3 linked regions of the Oreochromis niloticus genome follow. The protein of the gene in region 1 interacts with the protein of each later gene in a pairwise test. Links are inferred from orthologs where the notes say so. Each region holds a gene or a part of one and is shown on either strand. Other genes may lie near its edges. The genes, in order: ccndbp1, lg6h22orf23 and ccdc146.

Evidence for each region.
Region 2: the proteins of ccndbp1 (region 1) and lg6h22orf23 interact in binary tests that used the Homo sapiens proteins (3 or more experiments, as listed by UniProt). The two-hybrid records come from large-scale screens. The link is inferred for Oreochromis niloticus from reciprocal best matches to the Homo sapiens genes CCNDBP1 and C22orf23.
Region 3: the proteins of ccndbp1 (region 1) and ccdc146 interact in binary tests that used the Homo sapiens proteins (3 or more experiments, as listed by UniProt). The two-hybrid records come from large-scale screens. The link is inferred for Oreochromis niloticus from reciprocal best matches to the Homo sapiens genes CCNDBP1 and CCDC146.

What each region holds. Positions count from the first base shown.
Region 1 is NC_031970.2:14,580,948-14,584,702, reverse strand, and holds the start of ccndbp1 (cyclin-D1-binding protein 1 homolog), read left to right. Parts: upstream 1-728; 5' UTR 729-807; coding exon 808-889; intron 890-2,646; coding exon 2,647-2,706; intron 2,707-2,956; coding exon 2,957-3,036; intron 3,037-3,267; coding exon 3,268-3,349; intron 3,350-3,755. Other genes in the region: H-2 class II histocompatibility antigen, A-U alpha chain, read left to right, coding at 47-183. UniProt on the Homo sapiens protein: May negatively regulate cell cycle progression. May act at least in part via inhibition of the cyclin-D1/CDK4 complex, thereby preventing phosphorylation of RB1 and blocking E2F-dependent transcription.
Region 2 is NC_031971.2:34,108,740-34,112,494, reverse strand, and holds the start of lg6h22orf23 (UPF0193 protein EVG1), read left to right. Parts: upstream 1-956; 5' UTR 957-1,073; intron 1,074-3,755.
Region 3 is NC_031981.2:8,530,996-8,534,750, forward strand, and holds the start of ccdc146 (coiled-coil domain-containing protein 146), read left to right. Parts: upstream 1-1,313; 5' UTR 1,314-1,499; coding exon 1,500-1,500; intron 1,501-2,179; exon of another isoform or gene 2,180-2,329; intron 2,330-2,498; coding exon 2,499-2,692; intron 2,693-3,018; exon of another isoform or gene 3,019-3,755. UniProt on the Homo sapiens protein: Essential for sperm flagellum biogenesis and male fertility.

The sequences.
Region 1 (3,755 bases):
TCATTTTCAAACTACACAAATAAAAGATGTTTTTTTTTTTTTTCAGAGTTGAAGGAAAACAAGATGAGCAGAGTGAGCCCTGAAGCCGTGTTTTTCGGTGTGAGTGTCGTTTTGTGCCTGATAGGATTCGGGACCGGAGTCTTCTTTTTCATCAAGCAGCCAAATGAATGTCTTCAAATTTGAGATTGAGTTTATTAAATTAACTTTAATCATTCAGTCTTTAATCCCCTGATTAATTGGTTTTATATGTGCAAGCAAAACCCATCAAAAAACATAAAAATCCAGTATCTTGTGCTTACAGATAACTTCTTTATATCACTGCATTAATAGTGAATGACAGTTTGTTTACTTAATGTGTTTAATGTGTACTTACAATTTGTATTGTTTTTCACTTGATGATGTGGTGTTAATATACTTTGATTTTTAATAAAGAGATCATTACTGGGGTTGTTATATGATCAACGGTGTATGCCTTTATAACACGCAGACCTACAAAAGAATTTGTGTAGAATAATTCCTCCCTGCTGAGGATTTATAGATAAATAAAGCAAAAATCTTGCACAACTGTGAACTAAAGAGTTGTGACGTCTTTGTTTGTTTGGTTTGAGGCAGGTATGCGCGCTTGTTTAATAGTTTTTGAAGACTAGCTCGTTGGCGCCCTCTGCTGCGCTCCTGGCTGAATGGCAGCCGGGTCAGCAGGAACGTCCGGCGGCGCCGTTGTTTCGTTTATTTTTGTCCCTCTATCAACGGGCTCCCCTTATGTAGTTCCACAACACGCATGTAACACGATCCACAAACTCTGGCGACATGAGTGCTGATAGTTGTGGTGGAAAAGTAGCTTTACGGAATCTGGTTAACTCCATCAACTGCATCCGAGACCGAGTCAGAGGTAACTGTGCCACATTATCTGTCTGTGTTGTCACAAATGAAACTGCTTAACCATAAAAGCTTATGTCAAGCTAGCTAAACGTGCTAATATATGTGCTAACATTGGTATAAACTTTCTTCATGTTAACTGTTGTAGATTTACGAGTTTAACTGTTTGTTAAACTCGATTCGTGTGTTTAGCAGCAGTTAACGACTTTGACGTCTGTTTGTTAGCAGACAAAGACGGGGATTTAGCTAATTTAACATACAGCGATAAAGACATTTGGCACTTTATTACGTGACCCAGCTACATTTAACTGCTAATTCCTGTTCGCTTTTATTCAGGTTTTTATTCCCAGGTTTTGTAGAAAATGGAGGTTGGGGCTTTTTGTCTTGCTTTTTCAGTTATTTCATGTTGTCCTCATCTTCACTGACCTAAATGGGACATTAGACCTCAGTGTTACTCGGTATTTTCATGAGTCAGTTTTGTGAACAAAAACAACTGATTGTGCAGGATATAACAATACTTAAAGGTTTGCTTTTACAAAAGAGTGTAAAGCTGAAATACGAAAAAGATAAAGTGGACAATATCAGACATTTTAATACGAAAAAAAATGTTTATCAAGACAAACATACAAACAGGAACTAAAGCGCCACTCAGCCCTAAGTGGCCCTTCAGTTACTGCCAAAAATCCAAAACGACTACTGTGTTGTCGTCATCAAAATATTCAGACATTTCATTATGTCCAAAATAGTGGCTAGCTAATTGTAGTTGATGGGAGGTTTTGGTCTTCCGTCTGAAGAAAACCTAGTATATAAAAGCCCAAATATGTTTTGTTTTTTTTGTCCAGAAATGACACAGAAATGCACTGAGTTCTGTTAACACTTGAGAAGATGAGTCTGATCAAAACTGACACCTTTAACCCAAGAAACCCTTAAATGTTAAAGATTGTAAGAAAGAAATAATTTTTTTGTGCCATGGAGCTGTCTTCAAATCCTATTTTCTGACCGCTTATCCATTTTACAGTGATTTTAAACAGCAAATAGAAGCTAATTCTCCTATTTCAGAAATTGAAATTAGATTATTTAAAGATTAAATTATTGTAATTTAAATTCCTTGAAATTGCAAGGAGTAAGGGTAGTGAAGGTTAGAGGAGTTTAAATGCCTGGGGGTCAACCATCCAAAGCAACAGACAGTGCACAAGAAGAGATTGCAAGCAGGCTGGAGACGAGGTGTCAGGGGTGATTTTTTTTTTTTTTTTGAGAGAGAGGGATAGCAGCAAGAGTGAAAGGGGAGGTTTACAAGATCGTAGTTTGATCTGCTATGATGTATGGATTGGAGACAGTGGGACTAAAGTGGGCAAAAACAGGAGGTGGAGCTGGAGGTGGCAGAGTTTAAGAATTTCTTTGGAGTTATCAGCATGGACAAGATTAGAAATGAGTACATCAGATGGACAGGTCAGACTGAGCAGTTTGGAAACAAAGTTAGTGAGGCAAGGCAGAGATGCTTTGAACATGTGCAGAGGAGGGATATGGAATATCCTAGGCAAAGGGTGTTGTATATGGACCTGCCAGGCAGGAGAAAAGGATGAAGACCACAGAGAAGATTCATGGATGTAGTGAAGGAAGACATGCCAAGGTCTGGTATGACAGAAGAGCACGCAGGGACAGGATGAGATGGAGACAGATGATCCACTGAGCAGCCAAAAAAAGACGAATCCTCTGCAGTTTAGCTTAAGAACTAGAACCAAGAATTTAGAACTTTTTTTTTCTTCGCAGATGGAGAATCAAACGAGTCCGATGGAGCATTCAACCTCTCCAATTTCTGGGACACTTTGAGTTGAGTATCATGATCTCTTGCTGCTGTTTCAGCTCCTAGACTTTTGCATCGAACGTCCTTTGACAACTGGCTGATGTTCCTGTCTCGTTACAGTGAATGTTTTCTAAGAAATGTATTTGCATTGTTTTTATAATGTTTTTGCAATGACTTATTTGATATTAAAAAAAAAAAGAAAGAAAAAAAGCATTAGGAGAATTCCTTCCTTCATCGTCTTGTTGTTACATGATGCAACTGTCCTCGTGTCAGCAGATCAGGCAGTGAAGGCAGTGTCCCAGGAAGCCACTAAACTCAGCCTGGCCTTCTCCAAACCTCCTCTGCCATCACAGCAGGTCAGATTATTTCTGTAATCATGAAGGTTTCTCACTGAGCTGATAAACAGATTGTTTTGAAGTCTGGTATAGTGTAAAAATAAGAAATAATGATGATGATGATGTGAGCTGAACTCTTACTTAGAGCCATAAATTATTGTCATGTTTCTCAGGATCTTGAATTTCCACATAAACCTTCTAAAGACCAGCACATCATTTGTTTTCTGTCTGTTTTTCCTCCACAATCTCCAGGATGGAGAGAAGCTGGCAGATTCCATCATGAAGAGCATCCTCACACTGTCTACAGTGTATTACTGGCTACCTAAGAGCCAAGGTAAAACCCTGTGAACAGCAGAACAGTAATGTTGTATTCAGATGAGCGAGGTGAATACGTTGCACTGCATTCAGGTTTTTGGAGCATTTCACAATGCCAGAATATCACAATACACTAATCAGTCTAATCCAGACTCCAAAAGCCAGAGCAAGTGCCCGTCTGTGGGCTTATCCGTTTACTTCAGTCCGATGCGCTTCTGTGTTTACTACGGTAGTACTAACAAAAGTCTTCACTCACCCCCGAGTTATTTTGGAAAATTGGAACAACTTATTGAAATGTGCAATTATAGACGGCAATGCAGTTAATGAGGCATAAACAGTTTGTATAATTCTAACAAGCATCAAAGTCAATATTTGGTATGACCCCTTTTATTCTTTAGCACAGCCTAAACTCTCTTAGGCAAACT
Region 2 (3,755 bases), on another chromosome or scaffold:
ATTACCTCCTCAACATGTCTTGAAGTTCTCCAGAGTCCTGGTAATGAACTAATCATTTGATTTAAGTGTGTAGACCCAGGGTGAGATCTAAAACATGCAGGACACTGGCCCTCGAGGCCTGGAGTTGGCCAAGCCTGATCTACACAGACAGCATGCTAACACAAAGCTAGCCAAGAACCCAGCACAGCCCCGGCACAGCAGCCAGACCCTGAACTTCAACAGGTAACAGATGAGCAGTCAGGCTGCAGCCCCTATTTCTACCTGGTCATGTTTCTAAAGTAGAATCACTTTGGCAGGTTTTCATTTTCGCTTTGTGCTGTTGGCTTTGTGTTCCAACCTAAATACTAAGAGAAAGATGATGTGTGTGTCCTCATCAGGATAGGGATTTGTGTTGCTGTGAGGGACTGTAGTGTTAAATGGTAATTATGAGACACTGAATTTCAGCTATTTTACAGAGTAAGATGAAAGTAATGAAACAAGTAGCATAATGAATTCCTTACTGCTTGGAGTAATTATGTAACATAACTTTAAGAAAACAAACATTTAAGAAAAATGTTCTGTACAATATATTACCTTTTTTGAGTAATGGTGGACCTGTTGTGATCACCCCAATGGTGATCACAATAAAGAGGGGAAATACCTCCAACATGAACAAACATTTGACCCACAACATGCCATTAATTTGCATGAATGTAATGTCTTTGACATGCTGCTTAGCAATGGTGGCCATCGTCAAAGTGGAGCCAATGAGAATCAATAAGAGAATCGATAAGGAATCGATACTGGAATTGATAATAGAATCGAAATCACTAAATTCTTATCACTTCTCATTGGCTCTGCTCATTTCATTTCTGACCTCATTCTGACCAAAATTTAAAATAATGCATTGAGTGTATCTGCAAGTAGTCTCCAAAATGCTCATCTCAAGCTCTGGCTGTGTGCACAGAAGCCCCGCCGACGTGCTGTTCAAACCTTCTGTTTTTTGGAAGGCACCCAATCAGAAAAAACAAGAGCAAAACAGGTTATAGTAGACCATGATAAACTGGGAGGACTGCACCAAGACCAAGCATAAGGTAAATAAGGTTTATTTTGAACTTTTGGTCATACAAAGCCACCAAGAATATAGTTATGGAGCTGGAAATGAGCATATTAGGTCCCTTTTAAGGACTTTCTAGCTCTTAGATGGCATCGTTTACTATTAACTTCATGTAGCTATTTCAGGCTCTGATTAAGGCATTTATGTGTTGATGCATGTACTAGCTAGTTAACGTCTCTGCTCAACATTCATTATGTTGTCCCCGATTAGCAGGATTAAGAACCCAGTCTTAGCCATGATAGCACATCAAAGTGGAGCTAGCTGCAGCAGCTCAGTCGTAATCTCTAGTACAGATCAAACTCTAAAACTAACCGTTGCCTTGGTTGGGCTCCTTGTAGTCCTGCAGAACATTTGTATGATTGCATAACTGGTCTCATGAGAGGTAAAGATATAACTGTTACTATTCACATACCAGAAAATCCAGAACATGAGGGTTAAATTAACTGTACGTCAGACTTCCATATTATTAAAGAGGAATTTCGTGGATTTTATTGAGTCTGTCGAAGGACTCAGTATTTCCAGGTAAATTTATAAAAAGTTACAAACAGGCTTTTGTACAAAATTACATCACTTCAGTATCATGCTCTGGAAGTTAAACCCATTTACAAAGTGGAAACTTGCAATTACAATAATTGATTTTAAAATGAATATCTCTCATTTTAAAATATGTTCATGCACCAAATCCGCTTTAGTGCTTTTCCCTGTTTTTTGGTTTGTTTTTGTTTTTCGAGGTTTTACCAAAGCCTCGGAATCTCTCTGATCTTTTATGCAACTAAAAATACTGTCAATATTAATGCTTTGTTGTGGATCACATTAGGTCAGCAGTGTTTTTTCTTAAAACTGCACTGCAGATTCATTGCTGAATGTGTATGCTTAAGCATGTGTTGTAGATGCTGGTAAGTGTGTGAGGTTGTGAGTCTGTTTGTCTTCCCTGAGGTTATGCGGTACACAACATTGTATGTATTTGTTAGATGGAGGGAGAGGAAGCGTCTTAATGTGATGATGAACTCCATCATCTGACATAATCAGGATGAATCAGTGCACCGTGTTACATAAGCCGATCCCCATCCTTACCTCACCCTTACCCAGATTAGAAACACAGCAGACACAGCCGCCTACAGCCTGCTGATACCTGCCTGCAGCCTGGAGGAGCGATGTGATAACAGAACACTGACATCTAGAGGTCAAATGCTGATATTAACCTTAGTGCTTTCTCACTCTTGGAAAATGGAAAACGTGTTTTTACTCTCTTTGATAACCCCAAATGACTTGTAACGGACAATTCTTCCTAATCTTGCTGTAAGGAAAACAATATTTAAGGGCAGGGTGTAAAACATTCAGCCCACGGACGAGAACCGGCCCACTGGAAGGTCCAGTTTGACATACTGAATGACTGAAAAATGCAGTTTTGCAGTACTGACACGGACATCAATTGTAGCCTGTTGTGCAAAAAGAGTAGTAAAGTAACTAATAAACCATTAATTGAAAAAAAAAAAATCCATTGCTGACAAATATCATAGTATTTCTTAATAATTTTGAAGTCCCAGCTTTATGGTTTTGTGATTTTTTTTTATTTTATTTTTTTTGAATCAGGCTCGACTGGCAAACAGTTTTACAGAATTAAAAGTCTTTATTGTTGAAATTAAGACAATATTAACAATTCTTAACATAACAATGCTAACAACGCTCTTTTGAAATAAAAATATTTTACAAATAATATAGTATCTTCTGCTGATGTAAAAGATCGTGACAATAAATATGTTATTTTTAATGACAATAGAGAGCTCAGAAAAATGCTGATTATTTACAGCTTTAGCAAATGCTTATACTTAAATAAAAATATGTAAAAAAACAAAAACAAAAACAAAACAAAAACCATATTAGTTTGCTTTACATATAATTTAAGGCATAATTCTATTACCATTTTGGACACACCAGCTCATGGGTATGGGTCAGTATTTCTCTTTCTGACTGCATGATGTTTAACTGTTGTGCCACAACAGTTTTGTGGTCCTTTTAAACTGTGAACCCAGTGTAATAGATTTTTAGTTATAAGATACTTTGTAAGGATATAAAATCATACTGCAGTGCAGTATTCTTTCTTTCCTTTGCACAAAAGGGGGGGGGGGGGATTTTTTTTTAAAAAAGGGGGGACATTGATATTTGCACTTGGCCAAAATCTGCCAAATATCAGTACTTCATCTTACTTTGCCTGTAAGGGAAACAGAATTTAGCATGGCTAATAAGCACTCGTGGCTTTGTTCAGTAAGCTTAATAACTTAATGAAACTTAAAAGAGTCTGTTTAATATATAAAGTCTTACACTCCCTTGCTCCACCACCACTAAAGCAGTTCATTAGGCATAAAGAAAGCTCAGACAGGACCACTCGAGCTACAACCCGAGGAGACTTGTTTATACCTCACAGACGGACAGCATTTGGGCAGAATGTCCTCTCTGTCCAGGGTGGCCATCTGTGGAACAGTCTTCCTCAACCCATTAGAGAATGCTCGACTTTCAATTTGTTTAAGGCAAAGCTTAAAAACTGGTTATGGACAAATCAAGTGTGTGATCATGTATGAGTTGTATAGTTTTAATGTTTTATTTGGGAACAGAATGGTGTGTATGTGTAAGTTTGGTGATGAAGTTTTTATTATGAATG
Region 3 (3,755 bases), on another chromosome or scaffold:
TCATCACTGCCTCTGCAATAGTGGATCGCGCTCCTGTGAAGCCTCTCACTGCCCTGTTTTAACTCCAATGATCCCTGTGTTCAATAAAGTGTTGTGAATAAGAAAGAAACAGTCTACTGAATCTGCGTTTGGGTTCTCTTTTGAATTGCTGCTGTCTGTCTGACACTCAGATCATTTTTAAACTGGGGCCTTGAACATGACAATAAGTTCGCTGTACTCAAATGGTCTCCACAGTCACCAGACCTCAATCGAATAGAGCACCTTTGAGATTTGAGATTAGCATTATGAATGTACAGCCCACAAATCTACAGCATGTACATAATGCTATCATGTGAATATGGACCAAAATCTCTAAAGGAATGTTTCCTGCATTGAATCTGAAAGCAAAATGATGTCCAACCCTACTAGCAACATTTACCTAATAAGGTATATATGTGTGTTGTCAGGGCTTTGCATCTCCACTGGGTGTACACATGGCATTGTGAATGCACATGACTGCATTACTATTCCAAATTTATGACTTTTCTAGACAAAAAAAGAACTCACACTTAGAAGATGAATTGGTTTTTGTTTGTTTGTGGTGTGTGTGTGTAGCCAATGGACATGTTGGACATGCCAAGTAAGTGTAAAATAAAATTCAACAAATAACAAATGTTTGAGGATTGCCAAGCCCCTAAAGAAATGAAGTCCAAGAAGGTTTCTCTTTCCTGGTGCCAGTAAACTCACAACTTTTGTAGTAATATCACATCCTTTCCTAATGGAACATCTTTAACGGATCACATACCAGCATGCACACGCACATACATATACTGCTGAGACAACACATCTCAGCAGCTGTTGCCGGGAATAAGTTACGGGTCATGCCACCTCCCACAGTACAATGTGGGGAAAAAATTTTCAACACCACAGGAGAACAATGGCTTTGAATCACTGCCATCTTTCACCCTGGATATCATTTTAAGGTTTTCAACACTCACCAGTTCAGGGTGTTCAGCCAGCTGGCCACTGATGTTGTTCCATGGAGCCAATTTCATTACACACGGCGATTACGCGCTAGAGATAAAAAGGCTTAATTAACCTGTAATTTAACGCCATCTGCTGGACATGCGCTGCAAGTGTAAAATGAGTTGTTGTTTTTTTTAATTCTCGGATTGAATGAGGTCCGTTGGGATTTTTGTGTATTAATAAAACAGGAGAAAACGGTAGATAAGTAGAAAAAATAACCATAGCTTGCGCATTACTTTTCAGTAGAGGTGAAATTCGAGGCTTTCTCCTTATATTAAAGTGGACGTATAGCGTCGTTGTTATGGTAACCACAACACACCACGAAAGTGAAAAGTCGGTGATTGGGTTTTGCTGAGATTGGCTGTGAAATTATTTAAATATATATATTTTAAAAAGGCCTGTGAAGACTCCAGAGATATAAGAGTAAGGAATGTGTTTCCTAGTTTATCTAACAAACACCAAAAAACCGGACACAGCAAGTAAACTGGCTAATAAGTAAGTTTCTGCATGCTTTAATTGAACAACACACTCGTTGCTGTATTGTTATGTCGTATACACCTTTTTGTATCACATTAGCCCATTTTTTCTATTTTTATGGCCTTCTCGTGTGCTTTAACAGAATTTAGAAGCAGAAACTAAGCTGGAGTCGCTTAGCACCAGTTATAGCCGATAAGCTGTCATAATTTGGTCTTTTTGCGTTTTTCGAGAAAGTACGCTTTCTGTGTGACGTTTAGAGGTCAAATAATATACATCATCTTAAAATGTTTTGAATATGTTTAAGGACAGTGCTCACAAATTACTTTGTGGGATCTACGTTTAAAAAAATATTTATTGATTTTGATTTCCGGCGGAAGCGTAATCCTTCAGAATAAAAGCAGGCTTTTGCATGGCTAATTCGGTGTATTCCGCACATACAATACTTCTATTCATCCCTCCATCCTCTTCCGCTGATCCTTCTGAGCGTCCCAGTGGGGCTGGAGCCAATGCCAGCTATCATAGGGCAAGAGGCGGGGTACACCCTGGACAGGCCGCCAGTGTGTCGCAGGACTAACACACAGATATAGACAACCATTCACACCTATGGGCAATTTAGAATTACCAATTAACCTAACCCCATTAATTGCATGTGTTTGAACTGTGGAAGGAAGTCGGAGTACCCGGAGAGAACTCAAGCAAACACGGGGTGAAAACATATAAAAACCACACAGAAAGGCCCCAGCCAGATAGTGGAGTCAAACTCAGGACCTGTTTGCTGTGAGACAACAGTGCTAGCCATTGCACCGCTGTGCTGCCCACCTTTAGTCATATTATGTTTTATTTATTGGTAAGCAAGCATAGGGAAGGGCATTAAATGTTGAAACTGTGTGCCAGGACTTTGGTGTAACAAACATTTAGATATTTTCGGATTCCTGTCCCACGCAGCTTGTGGGATACTAATGTTTGTTTAGTGTGTTTCTGTCCTAAATATTATTATGTTTTGATCCAATCATTAGTGAATCCATCCGAGGAGGAGACAGAATGCAGGCCTCAGAGTGCAGAAGTTGAAGTGGAAGAGCAAGATGAGGATAAGGGAATGGAGGAGGACGCCCCTCTAGTGGCCGTTGCACCCGATGCGTCACTCCCAGAAAAGCAGCCCTCAACCTCCAGTGAAGTCTCTGCTAGTCCTGCCTCCCAGTGTTTAGATGAGGTAACAGTCATGTGCATTGTTGTGTTGTTATTATTTTGTGAATGGCATTTTTAAATTGTTTTCAGAAAGATAAACATCCCTATTTGATAGTTATAGTGAGAGATTTAACTCCCATAACTCAGAAGAAAAGAAAATAGTATCAGATATGATATAGATGCATGTATTTGCACAAGGCTAATGTTCAGGACTATTATTTCCTCCATTCTTTTGCAGTTTAATTGCTGATATCAAAGTATTGCACATACATAATGTGCGATAAAGTGTTTGTCATAAACATTAAGTGTAAAAAAAAAAAAAGTGAATATTTAGGACTTGAAGTCATCCTGTGAATGAGCACAACACTTTTATTAACTTTATCATCACAGACAGTAAACAGACAGTAAAGTCACAGTCCCACAGTTTTATCATCTTCTGTGAAGCCGATATGAAATCTGCCTTTTATTTAGTGGCTTTATTGGTTCAACACCTCGTAAACCCATTTGTTATGGGCATGCAGCACCTCATCCTGCATTTTTACAAGCCTCATTCAGCCTCGGACACTAGACGGCAGACACTTTCAAAGACACTCATGCGAAACTTGTATACAGTTTTTGTATACATTCATTTGAAAGGCGATTCCAGTACACAAGTGGAGCAGGCATGAAAAGGATTTTAAACCGATGGAACATTGAAATCTGCAACACAGCCATGGAATATTAATTTTATTTTTTTCCCCAATATAAAAATTGCATATCTTTTGGCACAAGAGCTGAATATGAATGATAGAAAAGATCAATCTGATACACACAAAGAATTTCAATTTTACGCAGATATTTACTATGAATGATCACAATTATGCCCAGTCCTTCTCATTACTCAAATGTCATCAATCATTAAACTCTGTACTGCATGACCATTGTATCATATAAAAGCTATCATACCTCTCAAAGTAAAATAAATACTGTACACATCCTCATAATGAAGCATTTCTTTCCCCAATCCTTCCCATTTACAGTGTGTATAAAATGAAATAAATGGTGCTATACAGTTTCCTAGCATTAGATAGCAGTATTGTACAAGAGGA